Linked DNA regions of Oreochromis niloticus. The main gene of each other region encodes a partner of the protein of the gene in region 2 in a complex. Links are inferred from orthologs where the notes say so. Each region holds a gene or a part of one and is shown on either strand. Other genes may lie near its edges.

What was found.
Region 1: the proteins of cstf3 (region 2) and cstf1 are in contact, whole or in part, in a crystal structure (PDB 6B3X), measured with the Homo sapiens proteins. The link is inferred for Oreochromis niloticus from reciprocal best matches to the Homo sapiens genes CSTF3 and CSTF1. Residues at the interface, in NP_001317.1 of Homo sapiens: Tyr581, Pro582, Lys583, Pro584, Asp585, Thr586, Gln588, Met589, Ile590, Pro591, Phe592, Pro594; in NP_001028693.1 of Homo sapiens: Arg118, Glu216, Ala217, His226, Pro227, Ser228, Asp230, Phe231, Thr240, Arg242, Leu243, Tyr244, Cys251, Phe252, Val253, Ser254, Cys255, Tyr270, Ser272, Ser273, Ala274, Asn275, Gly291, Val292, Ser293, Asn294.

The regions. Positions count from the first base shown.
Region 1 is NC_031970.2:37,107,025-37,118,792, reverse strand, and holds the start of cstf1 (cleavage stimulation factor subunit 1), read right to left. Parts: upstream 5,376-11,768; 5' UTR 5,225-5,375; exon of another isoform or gene 5,178-5,224; intron 4,868-5,177; 5' UTR 4,852-4,867; coding exon 4,683-4,851; intron 3,750-4,682; coding exon 3,472-3,749; intron 3,389-3,471; coding exon 3,191-3,388; intron 3,096-3,190; coding exon 2,705-3,095; intron 1-2,704. UniProt on the Homo sapiens protein: One of the multiple factors required for polyadenylation and 3'-end cleavage of mammalian pre-mRNAs. May be responsible for the interaction of CSTF with other factors to form a stable complex on the pre-mRNA.
Region 2 is NC_031965.2:24,186,856-24,199,474, reverse strand, and holds the start of cstf3 (cleavage stimulation factor subunit 3), read right to left. Parts: upstream 4,590-12,619; 5' UTR 4,374-4,589; coding exon 4,347-4,373; intron 3,742-4,346; coding exon 3,637-3,741; intron 3,466-3,636; coding exon 3,370-3,465; intron 1-3,369. UniProt on the Homo sapiens protein: One of the multiple factors required for polyadenylation and 3'-end cleavage of mammalian pre-mRNAs.

The DNA.
Region 1 (11,768 bases), on a different chromosome or scaffold from region 2:
TCCTTTTCACTGCTTTTACTGAAACTATATATTTATTCTCAAAATGTTCAATGTTAAATGGCCAAATATTACTTGAAACAGATACTGGTGAATGTAAATAAAGCATAACTTATCTCGTGATAAAAACTCCTTGATGACAGCACTGATCACTTCTGTTCTACAGAAATGGTTTTCATGACCAACATAAATCACATCCAGGAGGACCTCATGCACTTTTTACTGTGCTTGTAGCACTTTCAACTAAACGCACTTAACCACACAAACTTATCATAAACTTCTCTTTCCTGATTGATGAAAATCCTGATGATTTTCATCAGGAGCAGAATGCTTGTAACATTCCATGATTTTAAAGTGTCCAAATAAAGCTGCATGCAGCCTGTGACTCTATCAGAGGGAGAATGTTACAGCCTGCCATAGGCGATGTTACACTGTCACAGCAACAGGATCAGCACTAAGCCACGAGGATGCTGACACACTTCCTACTAAGCTGTTGAAATGGAGACACTTACAAGAAGGCGCGTTTTTTTGAAATCTCTTAGAAATTTTTTAAAAAAATACTTGAAGTTTTAATTGACATTTTTACAAAATGACCATTTGGAGAATAAATATATAGTTTCAGTAACAGCTGTGAATAGCAGTGAGCATCCAAGGCCTTTGGATCTCATCCAGTATAACTGTTGATAACATAACGATATAAAGTGTGTGGCGTGAAGTCAGAGAGAGTGCCAGGGTTGCACTTCACAGCATCAATAAACACACTCAGAGGGAGTAAGTTAACATCCATCTTCAGCCCTCCCTTTCCTGATTTTTCCACATAACGAGAATATACATTTGTTTGTTTACTTATAACTGCCATAGTTTATCTCATCTCCATGACGTTTAGTACTCGCTTGACATGTTACATATCTAAAATGGTTGGGAAGTGATAAGGGGTCACGTGCCTGCAAAACCTCTATAGATGAGATATTTATAACATCGTGCAGATGGTATCTGCAGAGTGTGTTGAGACGAGAGAAATGACAAGTACAGTGAGGAGATGCAGAAATATAAAGGGTCGTGTGTGCAGATAGCAGTGTTGCAGCATGAACTGTTGCACATATGGAAGAGTTTTACACATATTAAGAGTTTGAGACGCCACTTCTAAAAAACTATTTAGTTTTTTCTTCCCTAATCTGCCATTTTTATTGATTTGAAAGTCCATGCACACTTGCTCACTTCCACTGACTGTGGCTCTACTGTAACATTATATAGTTCCCATGCTACAATACTGCTACCATAAGTGGTTTGTCTCTTTCAGAGCATTACACACGTCATAAAACTGTAGAATAACACGTGAAATTTACAAAGCGATGTGGACCATGTGACAAAGTGACAAACGAGCACCCAGGTTAAGTCCATTCAGCTCATATTTGTGTCATTTTAGTGGCTCTCCTGTAACTGCAGCTCATTCCTCTGGTTTTTACAGTGTTGAGCTGAGAAGTGAGCACCACGTCTCTTTTTTTCTGTGTATTATTTCCTTCTGATTTGTTTAATTAAACACTATTAAATGTGTTTCATTATCATAAAAAAATTAAAAGACGGACAAAATGGCATCATAAGTGATTTTTTTTAAACTAAGGCGACCTCTAGTGCTGACTGACAAATAGGATCCTTACTACCACTGCATTATGATCATGCTTGATGGAGACGTTACAATACAGTGCCTAAAAGCTGATAAATAGGAGTAAAAAACATTTTTACTCAAGCATGGCACACTAACACATGATTTATCAAGATGAAACACTGCATATATCCATTTAGGTATCTTAAGGGAAAAATGCAAAACATAACACTCTGGATGTTCTCCTCCACACACGCGCACACGCACACACACACAATGTGGGAGAAAGCGCATTTTAAAGCTCCTTACTGTAAGTGCGATCCAACCTCTGTAATTTAAATCCTAATAAGAATTTTTAATCAAACCACCCGTTCAGTAGCTGGAGAACAGTAAGCTTTGCCACTGCTTCCATCCACAGCACAGTTATGAAACTAAAAATTAAAAATCATTAGAAAAAAACAACACAGGGACGGCAAACACATGATCCACATGAAATCCTGTTCAATAGTGCCAATATGATACACAATCGTGTGTGAAATATAGAAATATACATGCTGAGTAACATCGCAATGTGTTAACAGCTGGGCTTCAGTCAGGAGCTGTGTGTGCTGTGTGGATGCTTTCAGTTTTGTTTTTTTTAAGTTTTATTTCTGCGCTGGACTAAAAAAAGAAATGACGTCCATGCTGAAGGTTGTAGAGGTCTGACTCCTCGTGCCAAATAAACTTTTGTTAAAACAGCCAAAGAGCAGATTTTTTTAGTTGGTTAGTTTGTGTTGTTTTACTTTATTTCTTGCATTTTTTTTCTCTTTTAATATTCTTTACACTCGTGACAGAAACAATACATTTCTATAAACTACATTTCTGGTCATATGTCTCAGCATGAACAGCTAATATGCACACTAGATAAATGTAATGCTTGAGTCATGTTATCATTATGGTGTTGGAATTTTAAATATGAATATGCCATAAACTTGTTATAACATTTATTTTGTATAGATTTTAAATGTTGCAAGTAGCTCACTGTAGGTAAGTTCTGCGTCAGCAAACCTGTGACTGTGAATGCTTCAACTGTCATAGTTTAGAATAACAGCAAATCCTCCCTACCTGTGTACTTGACCAGAGTCCGGCCTGTTGAGATCTCCCAAAGTTTGACCACCGAGTCTTTCCCACTGGACAGGATGTACTTGGAGTTCTTGGAGAAGATGGCGGAGCACACCTCCGCTCCGTCGTGTGCCTTCTCGAAGGTCGTCACGCAGCGGTTAGAGACACCGTCCCACAGTTTGATGCTGCCGTCCTTGCTGCAGGTGACATAGCTATTAGCTGTGGGGTTGTAGCTGACCCCGCTGATGGTGTCTGTGTGCTGGTCCAGTGGGTTGCAAGACACAAAGCACTGGAAAGTGTTGACGTCATAGAGGCGCAGGGTGGGGTGCTGCGTCCCCACTAGCAGGAAGTCACCTGAGGGGTGGAAGGAGATTGAACGCAGCATTTCTGCTTCCTGTGGGTAAATCGATAAGGCGACAACTGGATTACAAAGATTTGCATTTATATACATCAGCTTTGTCACTTTGGATTGTAAACAATTCATCTGACCTGTATATATTTAAAGGCTCTTTTTGCAGAGGGCTTGGAGTAGTCAAACAGTTTGAGGGTGTAATCTCTGGAGCCAGATGCCAGAATCTGTTCGGTGGGATGGAAGGCGAGGCAGGTGACTTCATCGACGTGGTCGTACAGCGTCCGAATCACAGGGTGATTCTCCATGTTTTGCTGCGCCGTCTCATTCATCATCACCTGATGTATGTGGAAATGAAAAAAAATGTCAGTGCACTGGCTTAAAAACATCCAGCATGCCTGTGCTGTTTGAGCTGCCTCACCTCAATGGGCATGGCACTCTTCGCCAGCATGCGCTCAGTATCCAGGATCTTGATGGAGGCGTCAGCGGAGCCTGTAGCGATCAGCTGACCATCTCGACTGTATGTAGCAACGCGGCAAGGGCCCTTGTGAGATGTGACGTAGCAGGTCTCATACTCTGACGCCTCTGGAGACATGGTCTGGACGTCTGCGTCAAATTCCAGATCGATGCCAACACCCGGGGCTACAGTATCTGAGCGACCGATCGCATACTGAACGGCACTATCGTCATTTTCCATCCCTGTAATGGATTGTAGGTTGTAGTTAGGATCTGAAGACATACAGTACCAAAACCAAGATGTGGATGAAACAACTGGGACAAAGGCCTGAGAATCTGAGATTTTAACCCCAGATAGAGGAGATTAGATAACTAGATAGACAGAATAAATAAAACCAGTAAAAGTAGCACCAGTAGAAGACTTAAAAAATCTGCCCTAAAAGAAAGTCATTCACTCTATAATCAGTTATGTTTTTCTTTTTAAAGCTGTTTTAGTGTGTTCGGTCTGAGCTTTATAGTCCTGAATTTTTGTCCTAAGGGCAGAGGGGGAAAAGACGGTGTCCAGGGCGAACTGCAGCCATTACGACACAGCTGACTTTTTAGCACATGTTTTGTGCATATGTCAGTCAGAGGTGGCAGACTGGAGCTAACCTAGCCTAGCCTAGCAGGAAAAATAGGAGGAAGCTAAAAGCAAAAGGTCAGCAGTTTGGAGGCGTTTCACACTGCCACGTCTACTACGTCAGCCTCTTTTCATATGTTTGCAAAAGCTTTAACTTAGCTGGAAACTGTGGTTATGCCACATGAGTGTTTGTGAGGATGCAAAAGAAAATTCTTCAACTGTAAATGATGCTGCAGTATGGCGCACACTAATGACTCTCACTTTCAGTCAAATAAGACCAGTGCAAACAAGCAACACATGCATAGCAGAGAAGTAGAGAAGAGTGTGACTGATAGATGATCCCAAAAGTCTTACTGAGGTGAAGTGAAAGAGTGCATTCTTCAAGCAAGACAGAATTTAGCATTATTTGTTTCACTTCAAAAACAGCTCGTCTTATAATTGAAGCAAAAGCTATGAAGTCGGTGTCGGCTGTTTGTTTTAATTGCACAAAATACTTTTAGGTATCCTCCACCCCAAGATGCTGTTTTTCAAGATCAGAAGAAGGTCTCAACTCTTACCTATCTTTGCCAGCTGCATGAGCTGCTCAGAGGGAGACACAACGCTCTGTGGCTTCACCTCATTGATGAGACTGTTGGCGATGCTAGTGTATCCATCGTAGAGCAGCTGGCTGATGATAAGCTTGTACAGGTGCTGTCGGTCCTTCAGAGTCGGTTTGGGACGAAACATGTTGGGTCACTGTCACCTAAACCGGGTCGTAAATAGTGACAACTGTGTGAACTAAAGTGGAAAACAAAATGTCAACAACCTGCCCCAGGTCTATATTAGCGGATTAGGTTAATGTCAAATCACAATACTAGCGAACACCGTTAGCTGTAGGTATGCTAACAGTGTGGCAGTTATAAGGAATGAATGAATGTGTTAGCCTTGCAGCTAACAACGTTAGCTTTGTTGCTACAGCAATTACAGAACTAAAAAAGAACAATGTGTTAATTGGGAACCATGAGCGTGTGCATTGTCCAAAAGAAGCGGTATATGCTACTTAACAACATAACTTTAAAAATTTTCTGTTTTTAACACTGAAACACATGAAACATCCAACCCTCTTAAAAGTTCCAAGTGCGCTTCTTGATCCGAACGTCCGTTACGTACTGCGTATTTTACGCACTACGTCACCATACAGAAAAACGTAATATCCGCGTGATGCGTTTCTGGAGCCGCCATCTTGCTCAGGGGCTCTGGCTAAGGTTTTGGCCTATTCCGATACAAAATGCCACCCTTTATGCCGCTTTTTGTTGTTCAAATGAAAATAATAATAGAATAACGTTTAGCTAGTCAAAGCCGTTTAATCTGATACATCACAGTTAGAAATCCTTTTAAGCTAATGGTTTATTGACCCCTGAAACCAAATGAAGGTAATGCTGATTAGAATAAGTTAAATAAAAAAGAACATGTAATGTATTGAAAAGATGTTGAAAATTAAGTTTGTCAGTTTACTATATCTGACATTGTGCCCTAAATTATTTAAATCAGCACATTGTAAAATATTTCTCATTTCACTAATGCCTTATACATTAACAGTTATTTATACCCCAAACCCCGTTTTTAATAGACAAAGATCCTTTTGGGGTTGCATCAGAAAGTCGTGGTATAGGTTTTAGATGGACTTGTGTGACGATTCTCAAAGAAGACATTTGTGGATAGAAGCCAGTGAAAAAAAAAGTTTATGCCAAACAATGGGTCATTTTAAGTCTGACAGTAATCTTGCATTTTAAAGTCAGTTTGTACAGCAGAATTTCACAAATTCATCTGCAGAACTGATACATTTTAAACATTATAAATGGTAAATGGCCTGTATTTATATAGCGCTTTACTAGTCCCTAAGGACCCCAAAGCGCTTTACATATCCAGTCATCCACCCATTCACGCACACATTCACACACTGGTGATGGCAAGCTACATTGTAGTCACAGCCACCCTGGGGCGCACTGACAGAGGCGAGGCTGCCGGACACTGGCGCCACCGGGCCCTCTGACCACCACCAGTTTACACAAATATTTTAAGACAGTAAGACGGGGGTAATAGTGACAGATGGTTTCAAGGTGGGGTGGGATTATATCAGGGATTGATCCACATCCTAACTGTTTGAAGTGCTGATGGACAGGCTGACAGATGAGGTCAGGCAGGAGTCTCAGTGGATTATGATGTTTGCAGATGACATCATGATCTATAGTGAGAGCAGGTGGAAGAGAGCCTGAAGAGCTCTTCTGGAGAGAAGAGGATTGAAAGTCAGTAGAAACAAGACAGAATACATGTGTATGAATGAGGGGGAGACAGATAGAAAGATGAGCATACAAAGGGTAGAGGTAGTGAATTTTGATGAGTTTAAATACCTGGGTTCAACCATCCAAAGCAACAGACAGTACACAAGTGAGGTGAAGAAAAAAAGAGTGTAGGCAGGGTGGAGTCAGTAGAGACGAGTGTCAGAGGTGATTTGTGACAGAGGAATAGCAGCAAGACTGAAAGGAAATATTTACAAGATTAGCTGCTGTTATGTGTGGTTTGGAGACAGTTACACTAACAGCAGGACAGGAGGTGGAGGTGGCAGAGTTGGGTATATCAAAGGGACGGCTCAGGTTGAGCAGTCTGGGGGCAAAGTTAGAGAAGCAAGACAGACGGTTTGGACATGTGCAGAGGAGGGATAATGGATATCGGATGAAAAGAGGAAGACCTGAGAGGAGTTTAATGGATGTAGTGAAGGAGGACATTCAGAGGGTTGGTGTGAGAAAGGGAGCAGCCAGAGGAGAAAATATCATTACAACCAATAGCAAAATTGGTAAGTAAAATGAAATATTGCAAAAACAACAAAGCAGAATTTTAAAAGGCAATCAAAAGTTATAGTACTTATATTGCTTCTGAATGTGCAAGTGAAGACCAGAGAGATGGTGATAGGCTTCAGAAGCACGTTTATAACATGTCTGTTTCTATTCTGGGACAGGATGTTGATGTGATGCAAGTACCTGGTGATCCACTCAGGCACCAGGCTGAACTGGACCATCAACACAGATGTTTTATACAAGAAACGGGTGAGCAGGCTGTATTTTCTAAGGAAGGTGAGATTCTTCCAAATTTGCAGTGAGATGAGATTTTCTGTCTCTAATTTGTGCTGGTATGCTGTGCTGGTGTGCTGGAGAGCAAGATCAAAGCTGGTGACACCAGGAAACTGGATAAACTGATTAGAAAAACTGGCTCTGTGATTGGCTGGCCGTGGTGGAGAAGAGGTTATCCATCATGGCTAATTCTGGCCGCCCTCTGCACCACTATAATAAAAACAACAACAACAACAACAATATTATTAACACAATTCTAACACTTTTAATGCAAATACGTTCTATTTATGCATTCAAGACTTTTTGTCACCCCTGATCCAGCAGAGGGTGCAAAAGAGCACCATCTCAGACACAAAGGGAAAGAAAAGAGTCAAATTTCGGATCACTTTCTGATTCTTTGATTAATGCTGGTTTGCAGTTTTTACACTGACAGGAGTGTCAGTGTTTGGCAGCTGGTTGTGAACAAGAGTGGGACATGAGGCTGCTGTGCTTTAGCTACTGAGAAGATGAACATGTAATTGGTTATAGGCCTGCAGCGACTCCCACCCACGTACACATGCACACACATTAATGCTCAGTTACCACTTCCTGTAATGTGGTTCATCACCGCTAGTGCTGGCCAAAAACAAAGAGCCAAAAATGCAGTGTAATACATACAGATTACACGGATGATGGTGGAAACCTGTTATGGAAAAGGTAGACCTTTTCAAATGACCCCCATCAAACACCGATGAAATAGGCTGAATATCTTGCAATGTAGGTACATTTTGAAGGAAGCCGATTGTTTTCTGTCATTTCTTGTATTGCTCCAGTGGTGGATGCTCATATTTAACAGGGTAAGAGCTTGAAATAATGAAATCGGTGCATGTATAATAAAGCTCAGAGTGAAGTCTGAGCTTCACACTGATCGAAACACTTTCTGACGGTTTTTTACTCTCTGTATGCTGTGAGAGGAGATATCCCTGATATTGTCAACTTAGGCACAAAGGTCATGCTGTGAGCACAAAAGCCCCACCTACCTGTTGTTCAGATCTTCCGTTTACAACCACTTAGAATTAAGCTGGCTTGAAGGGGGAGTGGGGCTGAAAATGTCTATTTAACGTTTTGTTGCACAACAACATTTTTTGTTATTGCTGTTGTTTCTAGAAGTATTTGGTACTACTGTGGTTATGCCAACATCCACGGTGTGACTCAGCATGTGTCAGACACTCCCAAGAGCAGCTGTACGCACATGGATAAAAGTCTACATTGCAACAAAACAACCATCTCTCTTAAACTATGTTGTGCGTCGGCAGCTGAGAGGCCAGCAGGAGCAGAAGGAACACGTTGTTTGTCTCTTGTCACTGCTGACCATCAGCTGTAAAACTCGACTCAACCTTGTATCCTAGTAACCTGAACAACACAGCCAAATAACAATTTATCAACATCATCAGACCTCTGCTGACTTTTTTTCAGCAGACTCCTGCACACATCCACACACTGTGATTTTGTTTCATCTGACTGGGGCTTTAAAACCATGCACTAAAACTGTGCTTCCGCCCTACAGGGCAGTGTGCAGACTGTAGAAAACATGCGTGGTAGGAGGTGTCTTGTTGCCATGTCGACACAAACCATGCTCTTAGCAGACCAGCCTCCAGTTGCCTTGGAGACTGGCTAGAGTCTGTGGCGGTGGAATGATAGAAAAACACTTTGTTTTTTAACAGCAGATGTCATCTGATAATTACACGGCTGATCCCACGTGATGACATCATGTTCAGAATATCAGCAGCAAGGATTTGACAGCAATATTAATGCATTTAAAGAAAGATTTTCATTAAAGGGGACCTGTTCTGCTAATTTCCAACTCCATCTTTCTGTTCTTGGACTGTATAAGACTCCCATTTAAAATAATAATAATAATGGATTGGATTTCATATAGCGCTTTACAATGCCACTATTCATTCACACACTGGTGGAGGCAGCTACAGTTGTAGCCACAGCTGCCCTGGGGCAGACTGACAGAGGCGAGGCTGCCATATCGCGCCATCGGCCCCTCTGGCCAACACCAGTAGGCGGTAGGGTAAAGTGTCTTGCCCAAGGACACAACGACCAGGACAGACAGCCCAGGGATCGAACCGGCGACCTTCCGGTTGCAGATACGCATCCCAACCCCCTTGAGCCACGGGGCGACTGTGGCTCAGGGGGCGACCTGCATGTGTCGCATGTGTCTTATAGCAGGCCTTAATGTAGTTTATATTATGTTATATATTATGAAACACGCCATTTTAGTTTCCCTTCCCACTTTGTTTAAGCCAACTTTGTTCTGGTTGGCTGCTTCTTGCAAACAGAATGTTTGAGTAGCTGGTGGGCGGGGCCCGAACTGGCAACATTAGAGATGTTTTTGGTTGCTTAAATATATATTAAGATACACATAGAGAAACTGAATATATATGTGTAGTCAATAGTTTTGTGTTAACAGTGGATTGATTTGCTTGTGTGTATTCATCGTCATAGTAACAAATTCATAAAAGGCCCAACACGGCCTGTAATTAAATACATGGACTGCATAGTCACTTTAAAGTACTTTTTGTAAAACTGGCCAGTAGACTCATAAAAATCTAATGCCTGAGAACAACTTAAAAATACAAAACAACATTAGTTTGTATTTTTATACTGAACTGGTTTAACTAAACCTAACCAAAGATACAGAACTGTAAAGTGAAGACAGAATAAAACAAAAGAGGACAAGTGAACAATCTTTAATAAAGGACAGTATTTAAGGATTTAAGGACTTATCCGATCACAGCATCCGATACTGTTTAAACAATATAAAACCATGAATTCAAATCACATGTATCAGTCTGGTCAGTTGCACCCTGTTATTTAGTGGGAAGTGAATTCAGATGTTTGTGCTGTCAGCATTCACAATACAAAAAAGGTTGTTGATATCTGATATCTGATATCTGGATGTTAAAAAATACTACACGTTACTCTGATTTTGTTCTCACCTGTCCACATTTAGTTTGTTTTTACCCACAATTGCAAAATTCCTTGCATCTATTTTTTTACCCATGTTTTTTGTGGTTAGCCCAGTTGCAGAGCACTGGCAGAACTAGTAAATACTTGCATGTACAGTGTGAACACATAAGCTGGCCATAAACATTTTTAAGGCAATATATATATATGTCTAAATAAATACTAATGTTAAAAAGTATAAATTATTTATTGTTAGGTCAAATGTTTGATTTGGTCCAAATGATGACTGGTCCGTAGTCTACCACTGTCATATCAGCTTTGTTAGGGAGTGTGGGAATACTGAAGGTTGTGTTAACATCATGTTGGACTGCTCCTTTAAAATGTAGTAAGCATCCAATCATCTCCATCATCTGGTGCCGTAGCTATGGTAACGACATTTTCTTGCTGTTAGCATAGGTACGGTAGTGTGAAGCCACCTGCGATGCATTTTGTCACCAACCCTGAAATTAATTATTCGAAATGCAGAAATAAATATAAATAAATAAATGTATAAAAGTGATGCATCCCAAATGAAAATTAATAGAAATTAAGGATGCATGTGTTAAGGGCAGGGCAGCACGGTGGCACGGTGGTTAGCACTGTTGCCTGAGTTCAATTCCACCATCAGGTCTTTCTGTGTGGAGTTTGCATGTTCTCCCCGTGTTTGCGTGGGTTCCCTCCGGGTACTCCGGCTTCCTCCCACCGTCCAAAGACATGCAGCTTGTGGGGATAGGTTAATTGGATAATCGAAATTGTCACTAGGTGTGAATGTGCGAGTGAATGTGAGCGTGAATGGTTGTCTGTCCCTGTGTGTTGGCCCTGCGACAGACTGGCGACCTGTCCAGGGTGTACCCCGCCTCTCGCCCTATGACTGCTGGGATAGGCTCCAGCGCCCCCCACGACCCTGAAAAGGATAAGCGGAAGCGGATGGATGTGTTAAGTCATAGTTTTGGCATTGTTAGTCTTCCATACTTATGTAGGAATTTGAAGGGTCGGTGTGCAGCCACAGGAAAAGAGCTATGATCTAATGTGTTGCTTGTTGTCTGAGTCTTTAACGATGGTAGAAAATTTCACCATTAGATATTTCTACTTGTTTTCCACTGCATTGTTTGAGAACAAACTCACCACATCCTATCTTTGCCAGTTTACTCTGGTTCAAGCTAAGGAGAGCTACTGCCAAAAATAACTCCTATGTCCTCACTATTTTCTGTCTGAAACAGATCAATACAGTCAACAATCTGTCTCTTAATATGCAGTCAGTCTCACCAAACCAGTAACAATATATGGAGCAAACCTATGGAGTCCAAAAGGAATAAACGAGCATTGCTTTACAAGCACGTGCATGTGAACTCATGTACTTCTGCACAATAATACATGCTGTCTGACGGGGGCTGTTGTTGGAGGAGGGAAATTCACTCCAACCTCTCACAACTCATCCATTTGTTCTATGCTTGAGAGAGTGAGAGCAGCACACGTGCAGCCAAGCAGCCACATCAACATTAGCTTTGCTGCACCCTTGTGTATGTGGGTGTATGAAATACG
Region 2 (12,619 bases):
GTGGGTTACTTGCTGAAAGGGTTAAGTGTGAGAGAATCACAGGTAGCCTTGTCACAAAAGCTTTTACTAGAGCTGATGCAAATCCTGTTTGTGTGTAATACTGGAACAGAGAAGTTACATAATGTGCACAAATTACACTGCAGTGATGTTTTGTTTGGATGTATCTGCCTAGGTGGTTGCAGAAAAGCTCCTGATATCTAACATGCCACATCCCTTTTCGCACTAGGTTGCATAATCACTTCAAGCACAAAATTCTACTTGAGATGACGTGCTGCAGCACACCTTTTTGTTAATGCTTTAAAGCTTACTATCAGCTTACTTTAACTGAAAAAAATGGAAAGCTCACAAGAAAAACATGAATATAATTATACAAACAGCTTAAAGTAGAGAAAGCCCTTCAAGGCAGAAGATTAGTAAAGCCCCATAATTTCTATTTAAAAAAATAAAATGCAACTTCTTCACTATTTGTTGAAGATAACTACACTGAACTTTCCTTGGGGTGACCTAGTTTCTGAGAAATGCAATCAAAACGGTCCTAATTTATGAGTGCGGATTTTCTAAGTTTCCAATTTTTGAGGTCCACCATCCAACAAATGAATACAGTACTGGCTGCCATCTTTCAACACAGCTGTTAAGGTAGCGCAAATCTGCAATTCATATGTGAATACACAGTAGCTCAACTGCATTTAGTTCCCATTGTCATAAAGGTTATACAGGAGGATCCACTCTGAGAGAAAACAAGACACGAACTTAACAAACGTAGGCACACTTTTCCCTGTTGTTCCCTCTCAAAACATCTTTATCCATCAAAGCACAGGCTGCTCATACTGTTTAACTCAAACAATCAAGTAAAGTTAATGCACCCTGAAGGAAGCCCAAAGTAAGTTAGCCCCATTAAGCTCTTCTTACAAACTGCATGTAAAATATTTTAGTAAGGGTACAAAATATAGATAAACCTCAGTCTAACAGTTAAAAACAGCTGGTTAGTCTCACTATACAGTGCCTATATTAATCGGACACAACTTTGTATTTTGATCAGTGTGCTGCCTCAACCCAACTGAGCTGTGGTCTCTAAAACTAGGTCTTCAAAAGTGGTGAGTTATGAAGAAGACATGCTATGATCTGCACAGAGCAAACGAGGCCTTTAGAAAATGTGCCTAACACACAGAACAGTGGAAAGAATTTTGCATCAACTTTAAGTGAAGAACACTATGAGGATTTCCGACTACTTAACTCTTTAATTTTTTTTAAAGTTGAGATCATCCCCCACATACTTACCAGACAGACTTTCTTTCTACACTAACATAAAAAAAAATAAAAAAAAAATACATATATTACTAACACATACATCAAACTACGATAGTATACAAAGGCCTTGTGTTGCTGGGGGAAAAAACCTTTGTCTGTTTTAGTTATTTGACTGCTATTTCAGCTAACAGAAAGCTCAATGCAAATGTGCCAGAATAAAAACTGGGTTTGGGATTTTGGAATTAACTGTGTGGTGGGGAAAGAGGACTAAACAATGTGGGGGTTAAAAAAAAATAAAAAATCTATTTGCCCTTTACAAAAAAAAAAAAAACACCTTTAAAAGTATTGTATAAGATCAGATTCAAAAATCAGCTTTATTAGTCAAGTATGCTTATCCATATAACAAATCTGACACTTGCTTACAGTGCTTCCCTGCCTTCTTCTGTTGCTACCAGCTGACCTCTAAACTACACACAGTAAAAGCTTACTTTACTTGAAACGCAAAATTTTGTAATGTCAGTACTCTTTACATTTTATTTGCTTTGCATTTTATTGTAAATGCTAATATTATGTATAGGGAAAAAAAAAAATTCAGTCTACAGCCATGTCTTCTGTAGGTCCACAGCTTTGTTTAAAGCTGACAGTAGATGGTGTATCTCCTATTCGTTTAAGATTTATAATTACTTTCCTGCTTTAAAAAAAATGGATCCTAAGCAAACATCTAAAGTTAAAAACCACATATGTTCAAGGTTTTTTTTTTTGGTTTTTTTTTTTTAAACAAAGTGACTTTAAATTAAAATATTTTGTTTACGAGTCAAGCTTCCAGACAAACAACAAAAAAACAAAAGGGCACCAGTGATGTGTAGATGCAACTGTTTTATTTTAACCCTCTGGCTTGTCTGCTGCAGATTACCAAGCAATAACCCAATAATAACAGTAACAGTAGACAACTCTAATAGCTTGCTGTTGATACTTTTAGAGGGACTAAAAAGTGTGGACTTTAACAGTTATGCATTACTGATGCAAATAAAGGAAATTGCTACTGGTCGTTTTTGAAAAGACTAGTCTGTTTGGAAAAGGTAGCTGCACATCTCTCCCTGTATTTCAGTGTGTGAAGACCAGGGGTGGACACATGGGGGTGATGTAACCTCACACAGGGAAGAAACCCCCTCAACCAGCCAACTACAGCCACTATAACCTCAAATAAACCCACATTCGGTGCACTGCACAAAAGTAGCAAGTCTCCAGAAGGCAGGAGTGGCCTTTTAACTGGAAACTAAAGTCTGATGGTTTGGTGCAACTTCCTGTGTAACGTTTGGAAAGTATTGGTTTAAAATCAGTTGCAGTCATCTTCTGCAAAGGTGAAGGGTATCAAGGTTATTTTATTGGGTTAGCAAAAATTATTTGTTTGGGGAGGGGGGAATAAAAAGTCATTCTATCAGTAGCAGCGAAGCCTGTTGATGGCATTGAGGCAATAGGGTCACTTGTCTTCAGGAGGAGTGGGGAGAAAGAAAGGGCCACACAGTTAAAATGTTTTTATACAGTTACCCAAAAGAAATGACACAGGAGGCAATAAATTGACACAACAAGTGAATAAAAGGCTAATGCACTCCAATACTATTAAAATAGTTTTAATACTGTTGCAGACCAAACATGCAACAAATGCACTTTACCCCATTAAAAATATGGCGCAGAAAATGTGTACTTTAAAATCCTGGGAACATAAGAAGAATTTTGTGGAAAAGATACTGTTAGAACTAATTCCCCCTTTGTTTGAATTTTTAAAAAGGCACAACTCTTAAGAAGTCAAGCAAGAGCCTGGGAAATAAAGTGTTTCACATCATTCTTCACGCATGTTCAATCCATGTCCTTCAGTTTTCAATCACTCATTAATCGTGACTGTTGATGGCAATCTTGTAATGAAAACTACTAAATTTAGGACCAATAGTTCCAGCTGAAGTAGGCAGGCTCAGCGATCCAAAATAAGAGTTGCGACTTTATTGGTCATTAAAGTAAGACATTTTGGTCGTGTGAAAATCACATTGTTGATCATGTGAGGAAAAAACAAAAATCCCAGCCATGCACACTAAATAAAATTAAAAACAAAAGAAAAGTCTTAACCTCAGCTTCAATGTATAGCTTCCAGAATCTGCCAGAACTTGGGAACTGTGAGACAAGTCGCTCATATGTCTTCCTTGCTTTGTCTATGGGTTGGTTCTAAAGAAGGAAAATGCATTGACACCTCATACTATTTAACATATCAAAAACCAGTCATGGGAGGAAAAGATTTTATGGCTGCTTTGTATTCTAACATTTTGTAACCCGAGCCCACCCACCCTTATCCCCCAGTTTCCTTAACCCCAGGAATACAACTCTGTGTCACTAAACCTGTGCTTCTCGAATCAGAATGCTCCATGCGTCAAGGTCATATGGATTTTCTTCCAACTTCTTCTCTGCCTTCTTCACCTTCTCAGGGATATATTCTGCTGCTGCCTGCAAGACAGCACAAAGGCACAGGGACAACATAGTTATGCCTCTGAATAGTGCTGGGAAACAACTAATCTAAGGGCCAAGTGCTAAGGCAGGCCCATCCTGAGGCTTAGACCATACATAAGTAGGTTTAGTACTCAATTGTAGTCAATAATAGAATAACTGGCAACCACACTGCAGTGAAAGGTAGAGAAATTTACGAGTATTTGGGTGGTAATTCACATTACAAATACAGAACGGTGTCCAATTAGCTGGCAAGTTAACTCCTTTTACATGGCGCGACTAAGACCACATTCGGTTAATGTGTATTAGTAGATTATAAAGTGTTTAAATAAACTCAACTGGTTTAACAACAAGCGTAAAGTAGCGACTTTACTACAAACGCTTATATCCAATATGGCGAACGGCGGGCTAAACTTGCAGCTTTCAGTCGTAACCCAAACAAAATACATATCTGCTACTAGTACTAGCTAAAATCGACGTAGAATAAGTCGAAACATAAGCAAATGCTACCGCTTTGTCAACTTTCTAACATTATCCAAAATAACACGGTGTAAATCATGCATTCTTTGTAGCACGGGTTAGCTTGACCCGCTGCGTGTAGCTACCTGTTCGGCCGTTGCCTCCGTCGACATGGCTGGAAGAGTAACCTAGGTTAGAAATGTCTTTATCAATTGTGTGAACACTCAAAGAATAACGCGATGACACGTTTTTAAAAACAGTTCGTAATCGGCATAGCTTCAAAGAAGACGATCACATTGCCATCAAGCGACTAGCCGCTCAACGGCTCGCCGATGTCTTAAAATGGCGTGAAACTCGTTTTCCGCTCCGCCAGTGGCAACAACAATAACAGTTCCGGCGCGAGACCTTCAAAATAAAGCGCCGATCTCTACGAAAGCGAGTTTGACAGTGTGCCCTTTGCCCTGCATCCTCTGAGTGCAGTTCATCTAAAGTTACATTGTATGTTCTGTACACTATATTCTGTAAGAAAGATGGTTTACACGATTAAAACTACAGTCTATTTGCATTTTTTCAAGTTTATTCTTTTTTTAAAATAAAATACCATGAAATTCTAAATGTGCCTGGTAAATTATGTTTTACTGTGATGTGCATCTGCTAATGTATGCCAAGCACGTACACTCAGGTGATTCCTATGCGACTGCAAACCCGTGTTGCAATTTTGACCTACAGGCGGCCTCTAGTAGTCAGTCACTGTACAAATACTGACTTGTACCTTAAACCCTAGGCTTATTAATCCTTTTTGTGTAGATAAAAATAGATAAATAATTTTTTTTTTTTAAAAAAATTCGTTGTTTACTGAAATTGCAGAAAATATGTCAATCAGTAAAACAAAGCTTGTTTTGTGCTGCAGACTGCTGGCCACCTCACTGGCCAATAGGTGGAGACAAACGATAACCATCGAGAGCGCGCACTTTCATATAACCGTCTGGCAAAATCCAAGCAGACCAAAGCAAAAGACCACGGAGCCAGTTCACGAGTAGACAGCTGTCTTTTTTCTTCTTCTTTTTTCGTCCATACAAACTATTTCAGCAACAGCAACGCCGTGTTCGGTCTTCAGTGCTAAAGGAATTTATACGGGGCCTTCTGCACATGTGGGTTCTTCTGATTACCCCCATTATCATTCCAGCTGTGTTTACCCAAGATAAACCAAGTTAGACAAGAGGTGTTCACACCTGTTTTCCAGCTGACCGGGCAGGCTCTGTGATTTGTTGTGTGTAACTCGGGTGAGGACAGATGAGGACTGACAAAGACAAATGCCTTTTGGTGGATTACATTATAGCTGGTCGACTCAGACACCAGGGGCTTATGGGCAGCTTTTTTGCCAGCTGGGTGCCTCCTGACTGTCTGAGCAGTAGATTTCAGCTTGGATTTCCTTAGAAGGCTGGTCAGCATGTTTTTGGAATCACTAGTCCTACCTTTCATCATATTGATCTAGATTTCATATCTCTTCCAGGATCAGAATTAGAAAATAAAAACTGTTATTGGTGGCCTTTTCACAGCAGATCAGGTGAGCAGTATAAATAAAGAACTAAAAGAAAGGGGGGGGGAGAGAGAGTCAGGAGTGGAATAAAGATGTGCTAGGACAATCGGTTAAGCAAATACCTTCTATCTGGGGCATTGAGGGTTGTGTCAATGTGAAGCCTAGAGTAAGTGCTAGCTAGCTTATTTTTAGAACACATGATAGAAGGGTGGCTAAAAAGAGGAAGCTGCTGCTTTTGGATTGTACATTTTCATATTTTATTTTTATTATTTTCTTCTAACTTTACTAGGCTATAGAAAGTATGCAGCTAACACTTTACTAGAGGAATAAATCATGAAGCAATCACATTAACAATTCAAACTTTATTGTTATTATTCTGAATATATGTAAAACAAAAGTTGCAAATTGTATTTCACATTCATTGATGTTAGCTATAAATCCATCTCATCCTGGCAGAACCTGAAAGGGACTGTAGTATTGCATTAACACTTTACCTGTGTTTTATTATACTTCAAATGTAAGCTACATCTCTGTGTTCATTCTTTTGTTCCTCTCATCCTTCGCAACACCTTTGTCTTTATCGTGTATGTTGTCAGTAATTTTCAGTAAACCTTATTTCTTTTTATGAAAAAAAGCTCCCCATTGTAGTGTACTGTTTTCTGTCTAACCGACTTCCCAGAAACGAACCAGTGAATCCCCCATCTTTGCACCTGCTCTGTAATCATTTAATCTGGACTGGCCAATGCCGTCAGTTCGCAAACATTCGCTTCCAGTTCCTAGAGAAAAGAGACATGTTAGAGGCTGGCAGGCCCGCGGAACGGTGCGTCTAGACAGGGTAACGGACACCCTTTACAGAGATGGGCAACGCTGCCCAAAGAAGACGGAGACGCGTTTGAATTGTGTAGCTACGACGTGGGTTCGGTGTGGTGTTTCTGGAAGCTCATATGCAAGAGTTATTTAGTGTTTAAAATGTGGGAGATGGTGGCGTTACCGAGAGCGAGCTCTCCCTTCCTGTCGTCTAGGACAAGATGGCAGCAATGCAGGCGAACTGTACATGGTATGGATTTATAAGTCCATAACATGTTCAGAGAAGCCCTGGATTATACTTATAGTGACTCTATGTGAAGGTAAGCAGCGGGGTGGTGGGAAGGCTATTTTTCTGTGGTGTTTATTTAGCCTTACCTTTGAAATGGTAGTCTAAATGTGACGCAATACTAAGTGACAACTTAGCTACAAACTTAGCTAGCGAGCTTTTGCCTTTATAACCCAATATGTAAGCATTCGGTTCGTGCGCAGGTACTTCCCCCAGCACTTTGGATATTTGATTGATTAAACCTGAATTAATTTTCTCTTTTAGTCAAACTGCGGTGTTACTATGTGCAAATTATTAGCGTGAGTGCCAACACTGACGCGTTTGCTCTTTTCAGTGTTGTCACGGCGACCAGTTGATTTATTTTAACAAGGTCGGCTCGTTTAGCTTTGGAAACTACAATCGCTTGTTCTAATGTTAACTAACTCTAAATGGACGATAAGGATCGTGTGACTTAAATAGTGAGTGCTGTGTTAGTTAAGGTTACATTGGGTTTCGCCTGTGAGTCAGTTAACATATGCTAGTCAAAGATTGTCGCATAATGTTAATACTTTATCATAATCAGGCATGACAAAAATAAGCAGACCTTATGTACAACTCAGTCATACTTTTTGGTTTAAATTTGTGCCAGATGTATGGCAGTGCCACGTGTTGTTAAATTGTAGTTAACTGGAAGTCTAATTGTGATGAAGCATTTGAAGTGTCTCTGTCATTTTCAGACGTTTATGTTTTTCGGTAATGATGATCTAGAAACCCTCTTTCAGGTTAGAATACTAACAACAGCTCATTGAAGTGCACCCAGACTTGAGTTTTCCTGGACCAAAAATATGAAGCTGTTTTTGTCAGCAGGCATAAACACGTTGGAAGAAAAAAGGTTTAAGAACCCAAAGTATCAAGTTAATCATACAGTATATCTGTAATGATCTGCTTGGTGTTTTGCCGCATTGACTGTGGTGGTTTTGTGTTAAATATAAAGATTAGGACGTATAAGTGAGTTCCTTTGTGTGATCCAGCAAAATTAAAGCGTGCTGTGTAATTGTAGGCAAGATTATTTGAACAGCCAGCTATTTATGTGGCGGCAGCCATAGTGAGGTTCCTTCTCCTTTTAAAACTCAGAGAAATTCAATACCCAGACTGTGGCTTGTAAAGCTAATGTACTTTCCCTGCCTTACAGTTTTTTTCTTTTTCTTTTTACATTACCAGTAACCCTTGTCTGATGTAAATAGCATCAAGAGACTGTCCAGTAATGTGTTGCTCATTTGGTTATGAGTAGCTTAGATAAACTAGTATTCAGGTTTCACAGCCTATTATAATACCTTGTTGACGTTACTACCAGTGAGCGCTTGTGACACTCAGAGTAAAGTTCAGCACTGCACTGCTATTATTTTGTGAATTTTTTTTCTCCCCTAGATACTCTTTTCTGCTGATTATGTCTGTGTTCTTCACGTTATCAGTAGCATAGAAAGACCACTAATGCATGGCTGTGGGTGGCAATGATGGCAGTAATGACAGACGAAAGTCAGGCCAGTAAATAACGTAACTAGTGGTTTACCTTAAAGTAATTGGTATTAGTGAGCAATTTTGGTTGGTGAGTAATAATAATGACTGCACATATCTACTAAACTTGGGGCAACTGGTTATCTGTTTTGCATTGTGGCCAGCTTAAAGACCGGTTTGTGGGTGATTTTATCTTGAGGTGTGGGTACAGACATGAGGTAGTAAACAAAACGGAGTGATTGAGAGTGTACGTAAGAGACCACCGTGACAAGAAGAAGCTGTGATTTAGACTGAATTGCAGAAGTGTTGGGTGGTAACTGTGTGCTATCTCAAAAAGTAAACATCTATTACAGCTCACAGGGGGTAATTACCAGTGATCTGGTCAAAACCTGGATTTTATTTACATTTCAGTTGCTTTTGTTCAGAAAGTGGAGAGGTAAAATAACTCACTCTGCTAGTCTCTAATGGCTTAATGAGTGTAAGACCTTGTGGGTGGCTATGATAAATCATTACCTGATTGAAGTAAATTCTTATTTTTGTCGGTAGTATTTTGTTGTGTAACTTAGTTCACAAGATGCAATAAGGCAGTGGTTAATTTTTAAGAGAATGAATGAAGTGAATGGAAAAAATGGGGAAAATCTCATTATAACTCCATTATGGAAAAACAAGACAAACTCCATTACATTTGCAGTATAGAATACAAGACAGACTCAATGACTCAAGACAGATGTTTGTATTGAGCTTTTTATTTATTTTTTAAACCCAGCACTACTTCAGGAATACACTGGTGTTTTTCTATGATGTAAGTCATGTACATTGTTTTATTCTGTACTTTGCAGAATCATATTTCACCAGAATCATGTCAGAAGTGAAATGTTTAGTCTGCACAGGATCTTTCATTTCGGAAAATCACCTGGATTTTCTGTGACGCTTGTGTGTCTGATTTTGTGCGCTCCTTATTTGCAGATTTACATAGTTCCCATTTAAAATACACCCGGTGCTGTTTTGAACTTTTGAAAATGCTGCAGTGCGTTTGACAGACTTCTAAGCATTGTCTTGAGTAAACCTGATTAGCTCTTGTAGTTGTATGCGGCCCGTTTTAACTTTGAGCTTTTTACATGCTCTTGAATCTTTTTGTTTATTTTTTTTATTTTTTTCTTGAAGGGGGATTTCTCTGTAATTGTCACCATAATTAATCTCTTCAGCGTAATAGCTAACTATACTGCACATTGCCTACAAACTGGAGCTATTTCAACAAGAAGACTGCTAAATGATAGTCATAAGTTCACAGTTGAAAAATCATGAGGTCACATGCTTTAGGAAATAGAGGCTTTTTATCTAATGAGCATACAAGATCAAGTTCACGAGACACAGCACCACACTGTGCCGTGAGGTTGTAGGCCTGCAATTTAAAACAGCAATGACTGTTTAATTCTCAAGGCTACATGGCAAAAGCAGAAAGTTGGGTGGGTTGAAAATAGGTGTTTTTATTTCCACAATGACAGTCTGTATTTACCTTCATCATCTGATGAGAACATGTCTGTTTTTGTTTCATGCATAAACATTCATATTCTGGGTCCTGTTTGGTAAAAAGTAGCCAAAGTGAGTTTGTTCTTTAAAGTTGGTCTTAAGAATAAGAAATACTTTATCTAATATTTGGGAAATTCTTTTGTTACAACAGCCGGTAGCACATCTGGCAAGAAATGCAACTGCTTGAAAAAGTGTTTTTAAAAAAGACTGTTGTTTAACATCAGTATGTCAAGATGGAGGAAAAAGACACTAGGGATTAAACGTTGCCATTTTCTGCCAATTAATAATAAATATGATTATTGTTTATCATTAGTCATCAGAGTTGAATCGTGTGTTTTGAAGAGGACTGGTGTTTATGCTTGGTGTTACACTGTTCCCCACTGGAATAAAAAGATGATATGGTTCACTTTTGTTTAAAAACTGTAGCTGATTTAGTGAAATATTTATATATAAAATGATTTTTTTCTTCTTTTTTTTGTTTTGAGTTTGGTACAGTAAGCAGAGCTTCCTAACAGAATGTGTGAATGATGTTTTGATATGCTATATGACAAACAGCCACACTAGAGGTCGGTGATATAGTCCTAAAATTCTATTGCAATTTTTAAGAAAATTTGTGACAATATAGGGAACAAAGTTATTGAACTTTTTTTTTTTTTTCCAATTGGAAATTTTAAGTAAGTGCATAAAAAGACTGCTTAACACTTATAATAATTATATAACAATATAAAATAATTAAAATAATTTAGCCTTTTAACTTGCCAGGAGCCTGTACTTAATAAAACTGAAAAATATTTGCTCCCTGGTATTTTAGATTGTGGGTCAAGCTTAAAGCTGCTTAAAGCCCTTTTTTTCCCACTGTGTACTTGCATCAGTAATTACCAGCCACTGCTTGGTCTCTCTGTTGTATTGAGTGCCGTTATATTTGTTTATATTTGGGTTGCACATCATCAACTGCTAGCATCTCCTCTGTCATAGCCTGGCTGTACTTGTTGGTGTGTTTTTGTCTAAAGTGGTGAAATGCGTTCATCGTGTCTTATCCAAACTTTTCTCATTGTTGTGTGCCCTAGGGAATGCAAATCCATGGCATTGGTATAGCAACGATATCGCAATACAACATTTTTAAAGCACAGAAGAATTTATGCTGCTACTGTTGCTAATGGTGTGATCTGGCATAGGCCCGAGCAACGCACAGCCACAAATAGTGTGTATAGTTCCTAATTCTCTTCCTGCAGCACTTTATGTTTACATGATTGTTGAGGTGTGCTAAGCTGCATCGTTATTAAAAATAAAATCATTAGTGCCACTCGATGTTAAGCTGCACCATTTCTGTTCTTATCTGATGATAAAGAATAAAAATAATACTCAGGAGAGGAAATGATAGCTGTGGAAAAAAAAAAATATTGATGAACATCATGTTGGATGGTATTCATATTAAAACAAATGTTTAAATGTACGTTTAGGTGAACACAGGGTTTTTGAAAGAAGATTAGTGCTTGTATATAGCCTTCATATACAAAATCTGAAATTGACAAATTGTCATGTTGTTATCTTCTGCAAAACACTGAGTGTCTTAATCTGTCATCTCACCTATTATGACTTCAGTCAGTACCATTTGTTCCTTTTGGCCAGCTGTCTAGTGTTTATTTTCTTTTGCATTTAATTTTGAGTAGCTCAGGGTCAAAAGTTTAACTGTGAGCAATTACTTAGCAGCTCAGTCTTGCTGAAAAGGTTCTGCAGCTTTGAAGGATGTAATGTAATGCCACAGGAGGAGCCTCACAGCTGACCAGGGGAGTATCTGGATTCAGATGGTAATAATAGCAGCAGCTGCCATTTCTTGCCTTAGATCATTAGCCTTGACAACTAAGGCTGTCTGCTTTTTACAGCCTTGTGGTATGCTCCTCCAAGTTACTTTATATAGTGATTGTAATTTTGTAGCCATCCAAATTAAATCAATCTTAGTTTCCTTTGAAATCAAGTTCTAGATTGAAATTACTGGAAGCTCACATTCAAATCTAGACATCCTAATTGTTCAGTTGGGCTCCAAGTGCTGTCTCCTGTCTGGGGACTCCATCAATTAACGTCTCAAATCGCAAGGCACAAAGCTGAAACTGAAAGTATAAGTATTTCATATGAGGGTCAGGAAGAATATTGTGATCATGCTGGCTAGACGGTGTAAAACCTGACTGAATAATGGTCTCAGAAAGGTCAGTGGTGCAACAAAGTTCTTAGTTTTTTTTTTGTTGTTGTTGTTGTTGCTCTGAATGGCTACATTGTATGTTTAGTGGTTGCATGGGGTTACATTTGGATTACTTGCATAGTTGTTAAACAAACAGTGAAAACACAGAGGTCATCCTTTTGTAATGTTGTCCACTTCTGTACAGGATTCATAAAAATGGAGTGCAAAGATAGGTTAGATATGAGTAAGAATTGATCTACCAATGCATTTTCCATTGTGTTGGGAAGTATTTGGGTACACAGGTGACTAATAGAAAGTGTTCATAAATAGAGCAGGGCGATATGGCCAAAAATATTTATCACGATATATATTTGAAAATTTGCGATAACAATATAACTGACGATATAATTGATGCGAGACAAAATACAACTCCACAACTTTACTAGCGCAAAAAAAACCCTCCATCCATTTATTTTCACTTAAACAAGCAGCTGGTTTTTTTTATATGCATTAAAGCTATCTAAAAATTTAACAGTGCAAATGCAAATTCCTTGCTGAAAGTTTAATCAAAAGGCATTTCCAGTAG